2 linked regions of the Saccharomyces cerevisiae S288C genome follow. The gene in region 1 interacts genetically with each later gene. Each region holds a gene or a part of one and is shown in the gene's direction. Other genes may lie near its edges.

What was found.
Region 2: mutations in STL1 (region 1) and MIC19 together harm fitness more than expected from each alone (negative genetic interaction), as found in Saccharomyces cerevisiae (2 studies listed by BioGRID).

Annotation. Positions count from the first base shown.
Region 1 is NC_001136.10:1,505,670-1,509,604, forward strand, and holds the start of STL1 (glucose-inactivated glycerol proton symporter STL1), read left to right. Parts: upstream 1-2,335; coding exon 2,336-3,935.
Region 2 is NC_001138.5:166,246-169,325, reverse strand, and holds MIC19 (Mic19p), read left to right. Parts: upstream 1-2,067; coding exon 2,068-2,580; downstream 2,581-3,080. Other genes in the region: YFR012W-A (uncharacterized protein), read right to left, coding at 16-102; DCV1 (Dcv1p), read right to left, coding at 830-1,438; ubiquitin-specific protease UBP6, read right to left, coding at 2,760-3,080.

The DNA of each region.
Region 1 (3,935 bases):
AAATATAAGGATTAAAATAATGTTTCTCCATTGACTACCAAATAATTTTTCTCCATTGGCTACCAAATAATCTTTCTCCATTGGCTACCAAATAATCTTTCTTCATTGACTACCAAATAATCGATAAGATAAAATAGCACGAAGCGATATGAAAATACACAGTCGGCTAAAAATTTGTGGGTAATTTACCTTCTTGATGCATCAAAAATCGACTTTTTAAGAGTTAATAATCATTAACCTTATTCTGACGAAAATAGCAGCGTATTTAACTCTATTGTACAAACATAATTTTCTTCTTATTGCGTTAGAGTTTCCTTTGCTATGGATCAATGAAATTGCAGATTACGAAAGAATCAAAAGAAATAAAATCGGAAATCATGACATGTGCTATGGCCTGTGTTTCCAGGTGTAAAAGATAAAGCAGAACTAACCAAGTTCATTAGAAAAGTACAATACCAAATGGAAAGAAAAAGGAATTGTTCTTCTAAGCTAATCGGCAACCGCTTATAAAGTCTACCCCATTCAGTAAGATCGAATATCTTGGAGGTCATATATGTTCATTCATCGGTGAGTGAGGATAATAGTGGCTTTTGTAAAAATTTTTATTATGGTGCTAATACACCATACTATTTCTGAGGCAACACCAAAGAAGGGTCCGAGAGTTCTTAGGCAGTAAAAAAGTTACACAGCCTCAGAAGACAGGGATCATGCAGTAAAAAAAAAAGCTCGATAATTTCATCGATCAATTGACCAGCCAATTTATTCTTATACCCTTATTTCTACCGATATAAACAGTTGGATAAACGGACAGGTTGAAGTGCAACGTTATTCAATGGTGACAGTTGCTTCTGGACTAAGAAAGGCTAGACCATGTGCCAGAAGTGCAGAAAAATGAAAGCAGAGAGCAAATAAAAAAACTCGACAAACATCGGAATATCAACCAGACAATAGCAAGTGGACACAATGAAATAAAAATCTCACAGGCAAAAACGCACTTAAGGTGACGTAGATGCGTCCATCATTTAAACACGATACCAACATTATCTGATGTTTCAATGTTGAAAACTGACATTCAAATATTCCGCAACCAGCGGACGAACTGAAGGAGCAGGCGACTACAATGCGCAGGGCGATTGGCGCGGTAACTTTGCCATGATCAAATATTTGTGTAGCGCTTTGTTCACTATCGAACTTTCTAAATGAGTTAAGGAAGAGAAGAAAAACAATATGATACCGCAAATACGTATTCTCACCTAAAATGGCAAGGCAAAGCTTCGCCGAGGAATTCAGCCCGAGAGTAGAAAATTTACTAATGTGGTCTCGCGTGTGAATCAGCAATGATTCTGAAATACTCCTTTTACAACCTTTGCAAAGATAATGTCTTTCAGTCTGATATTACGAGCGACCTAGAACCACTAATCCATATTCTTCATTCAACTTACTCCATTTTCCTTGGCAAACAATGCCCCACAATCATATACGTCATAACTATAAGGGATATGTCTGGAATGCGGCCAAGATAGAATTAAAGGGCTGCAGAACACCACTACTGATACTCATTGCCAAGGCTAGGAGGCACCATCCGTTTCATTTTCTTTGAGGTAAGCCAATCATGAAATAGTATACACATCCATAACGGACGTACGGACGAAATAAGTGCCGTTGTCCCACTATTCCACCGCATTTGGCCCATTTGGCTCACTTTGACTCAACTTGCGTCATTTTAACTGATATGAAGGGTCCGACTTTGTCCTTTTTCGGCCACCGCATACCCCACGGCGATGCCTCCGCTACCTGCATTTGAGTAGCATCTCCGTTTCGCGGGGTATTCGGCGCTACGTCGCCTGTTCGAGCGGCTCTGTTCGTTGCATGAAACTAAAATAAGCGGAAAGTGTCCAGCCATCCACTACGTCAGAAAGAAATAATGGTTGTACACTGTTTCTCGGCTATATACCGTTTTTGGTTGGTTAATCCTCGCCAGGTGCAGCTATTGCGCTTGGCTGCTTCGCGATAGTAGTAATCTGAGAAAGTGCAGATCCCGGTAAGGGAAACACTTTTGGTTCACCTTTGATAGGGCTTTCATTGGGGCATTCGTAACAAAAAGGAAGTAGATAGAGAAATTGAGAAAGCTTAAGTGAGATGTTTTAGCTTCAATTTTGTCCCCTTCAACGCTGCTTGGCCTTAGAGGGTCAGAATTGCAGTTCAGGAGTAGTCACACTCATAGTATATAAACAAGCCCTTTATTGATTTTGAATAATTATTTTGTATACGTGTTCTAGCATACAAGTTAGAATAAATAAAAAATAGAAAAATAGAACATAGAAAGTTTTAGACCATGAAGGATTTAAAATTATCGAATTTCAAAGGCAAATTTATAAGCAGAACCAGTCACTGGGGACTTACGGGTAAGAAGTTGCGGTATTTCATCACTATCGCATCTATGACGGGCTTCTCCCTGTTTGGATACGACCAAGGGTTGATGGCAAGTCTAATTACTGGTAAACAGTTCAACTATGAATTTCCAGCAACCAAAGAAAATGGCGATCATGACAGACACGCAACTGTAGTGCAGGGCGCTACAACCTCCTGTTATGAATTAGGTTGTTTCGCAGGTTCTCTATTCGTTATGTTCTGCGGTGAAAGAATTGGTAGAAAACCATTAATCCTGATGGGTTCCGTAATAACCATCATTGGTGCCGTTATTTCTACATGCGCATTTCGTGGTTACTGGGCATTAGGCCAGTTTATCATCGGAAGAGTCGTCACCGGTGTTGGAACAGGGTTGAATACATCTACTATTCCCGTTTGGCAATCAGAAATGTCAAAAGCTGAAAATAGAGGGTTGCTGGTCAATTTAGAAGGTTCCACAATTGCTTTTGGTACTATGATTGCTTATTGGATTGATTTTGGGTTGTCTTATACCAACAGTTCTGTTCAGTGGAGATTCCCCGTGTCAATGCAAATCGTTTTTGCTCTCTTCCTGCTTGCTTTCATGATTAAACTACCTGAATCGCCACGTTGGCTGATTTCTCAAAGTCGAACAGAAGAAGCTCGCTACTTGGTAGGAACACTAGACGACGCGGATCCAAATGATGAGGAAGTTATAACAGAAGTTGCTATGCTTCACGATGCTGTTAACAGGACCAAACACGAGAAACATTCACTGTCAAGTTTGTTCTCCAGAGGCAGGTCCCAAAATCTTCAGAGGGCTTTGATTGCAGCTTCAACGCAATTTTTCCAGCAATTTACTGGTTGTAACGCTGCCATATACTACTCTACTGTATTATTCAACAAAACAATTAAATTAGACTATAGATTATCAATGATCATAGGTGGGGTCTTCGCAACAATCTACGCCTTATCTACTATTGGTTCATTTTTTCTAATTGAAAAGCTAGGTAGACGTAAGCTGTTTTTATTAGGTGCCACAGGTCAAGCAGTTTCATTCACAATTACATTTGCATGCTTGGTCAAAGAAAATAAAGAAAACGCAAGAGGTGCTGCCGTCGGCTTATTTTTGTTCATTACATTCTTTGGTTTGTCTTTGCTATCATTACCATGGATATACCCACCAGAAATTGCATCAATGAAAGTTCGTGCATCAACAAACGCTTTCTCCACATGTACTAATTGGTTGTGTAACTTTGCGGTTGTCATGTTCACCCCAATATTTATTGGACAGTCCGGTTGGGGTTGCTACTTATTTTTTGCTGTTATGAATTATTTATACATTCCAGTTATCTTCTTTTTCTACCCTGAAACCGCCGGAAGAAGTTTGGAGGAAATCGACATCATCTTTGCTAAAGCATACGAGGATGGCACTCAACCATGGAGAGTTGCTAACCATTTGCCCAAGTTATCCCTACAAGAAGTCGAAGATCATGCCAATGCATTGGGCTCTTATGACGACGAAATGGAAAAAGAGGACTTTGGTG
Region 2 (3,080 bases), on another chromosome or scaffold:
ATTCTTGTTATTTTGTCATTGGAAAGTATAAGCTGGTTGTGGATTACTCTTCACACGATGTGCCTGTTTTTTGTAGGCGGGCTTGTACTTTCTGGGGAGCATGCTGTGTATGTTGTAGGTCTGTGGCAATGTTTGTCGGGAGTGTTCGCTGTTACCATGAGTTGTCTGTGAGTAGTAGCGATTGTAATTGTGGTTGTATCCTACTGGTCTTCTTCGGGAATACCAAGGAATGAAAGAGTTATGAGGAACCTCACTTTGATCCTGGTAATTATTTGGTTGTTGTAGTTGATATTGGCGGGGCTCTGTGAGACAATGATTTTTTTTTGAATATATTTTAAAGCAATCGGCTGATTGGGTAGCCTCAACGCCAAATAACCAAGGAGGGTCGTAGTTATCTTGTGAATGGCTTGAGATTCCCTCATAATATAAAATATTTGCCTTTTTTTTTTCAGTAGGCATTTCCACATTTTCTTGCTTTGCAGGTAAGTCGGTTATATTGATTTCATCCAAAGATAAGGATTTTTGATTTTCAACATGCCTTCTAGAAAATATTTGTTTACCATTCAACTTTGGAGCGAAGAAACTCACCAAACCTGCTTGCTTCAATGGAGATTTGATTTCAGGCGGTGGTTCATCTTGATTTGTTACCGCCAGTTTATCTTGATTGGGATCTAAGGTCCTTGGTAGATCATTAAAAAGACTTGTGATGTCATACACAGATTGGTCTGTGCCCTTAGTTGTTTGTGGATAATTTTCGCCAAGGGAACTTGATGTTTGACTCGTTCCATATAGTTTGAGAATACTGTCTACGTTCTCTATACTAGCTTCTTTAGCTATGTTTTCTGTCTGACTGCGCAGACGTATCAAACCTAAAACTGAGAAAATGCACGCCAATAACGAGCAGAGGGAACAGGGAACAGTTAGCCAGCCACACCAAGTCGTATAAGGATGAAATTGTAACAGGATCACGGTGCATGCAAAGTAACAGGATCACGGTGCATGCAAAAATAGTTGATAAAAGTGTCAATATGTGTAATATAGCGTTGGAAGTAATAAGTGAGACATTAGTTCCTCCAGTCTGAAAAAGAAAAATAATAACCAAGGGAAGTGCAAAAGAAATGAAAGTCAAACATGTAGCAACCGGTATCGAAATCAAAAGTCCTCCTATTGTATGTCTTGCCTTAGGACTCAGCCACCAACGTTCAAGAGAAGGGCCAGGTAATATTTCTTTCGAGGTGTTATATATTAAACGTACTCGAGAGCAGGAAAAAGAATTCAAAGTTTTACAGTAACCAAAGGTACCATATGAAACTCCAGCAGCTTGAGCCAGCCCCCAGTTTCTAATTATTGGTGAAGTTAAACAACATATCATAAAGCCAGAAAAAGAGATTAATTGTAGGAAAGAGGAAAACAATAAAATCAATTTATAATTTAGCATCAATTATTGAATATGGTACCAAAAAAAAAAAATTAGCAAAAAAAGGCAATTTTCTCACCTTCTTGTAATTATTACGCGTAAGGACAGATCATAAAAGTGTATTTCATCCTCAATCATCAATTAAATAATTTATTTATTAACATTCATATATATTTATATTTTCGTTTGCAATTTCGCAATTTTAATATGTCACAAAAAAAGCGCCCACAGAATTATCAAGAAGACCAACCAAATCAATAATAAAATTCGGCAAATAACATTATTAGATTTTTCATGAGATTTAAGAAATACTTGTTCTGTTGTTTAACTGATGGTTTATTACTTATATTTAAATATTGAAAGCTGCAAGATTTAAAAAAATATCTCCCGGGGGCGAGTCGAACGCCCGATCTCAAGATTTCGTAGTGGTAAATTACAGTCTTGCGCCTTAAACCAACTTGGCTACCGAGAGTCGTTTTTGTTGTAAAAAACTACGAATATTCGTGGTATGTCGCATATATATATATTTCTTCTTCCAATGAGACGCAGAGGAAAAAACAAGTGAGGAGGAACATTTCAAAGAGATTGCTAATCAAAAAAAAATTCAAGAACAAAAACAAGGTGGTATATCGACTAATACAGAGTCAATCATGGGTTCAAACACTTCCAAAGTGGGTGCTGGTGCAGAAAAACAACAAGTCTATACTCCGCTAACACAGATCGATTTTTCACAGTCTTTGGTTTCTCAATTGGATTCATCGAAGGAATCAGACTATGTCACCAAGCAAAATGCAGAAAAGTTCATTGAGAAGAAGGTTTCACAAAGGCTATCTAACCTAGAAGTTGAAACGTTAAAGAAGTTTGAAGATACTTTGAACAATTCACTATTATCAGACGACGACAAGGATGCCGTTGATGGAATATCATCAAGTTCATTGAATAATCAAATCGAGTCGTTGAACAAGAAACTAACATTATTTGATCAATTAGAGTTACAAAAGTTGGAGAAATATGGGGGTGCCAAAGGTAAATCTGATAAAAAAACCGACAACGGCAGCATTTCTATAAAGGCAAAATTGACTGAGTGTCTTTTGGCCAATAAGGGCAAGCCATTGAATTGTTACGAAGAGATGGAAGAATTCAAGAAGCTCGTTATGGGTTGAATAAGAAAAAGTATACATAAACTCGACCAAAAAGAATTCGCCATTTCATGTATATAAAATGCATTTTTATCGATTGGCGGATGAACGTAAAAGGGAGAGAAATATTTTTATGTGTATGTAAAAAAATGTATATGTATATTCCGAAAAAACTATTAATTTTGAAAAAATGAAAAATGGACTTACAGACCAAATCCTTTATACATTAAGATCAGTGCACTATCACTTTCGCCCCCACCGGCTAAAGATTCAATTTTTTCCTTTTCAACAACGCTAACTTTATCATCATTAAATTTGTACCATTTATTTTCGTCCAGTTCGTCCCTTATGAAAGCTTGATAGTGTCCAGACTCAGAATTGGCACCTTGATGTGTAATGACACCGATCAAGTTATAAACACAAGATGGGTTTTCACCTTTTTCCAAGTTTGGAGGAAAATGTTTCTTATACTCTTCGAGCCATTGATCTTTTTCACTTTCGTTAAGAGCCACTTGTGTCTCATA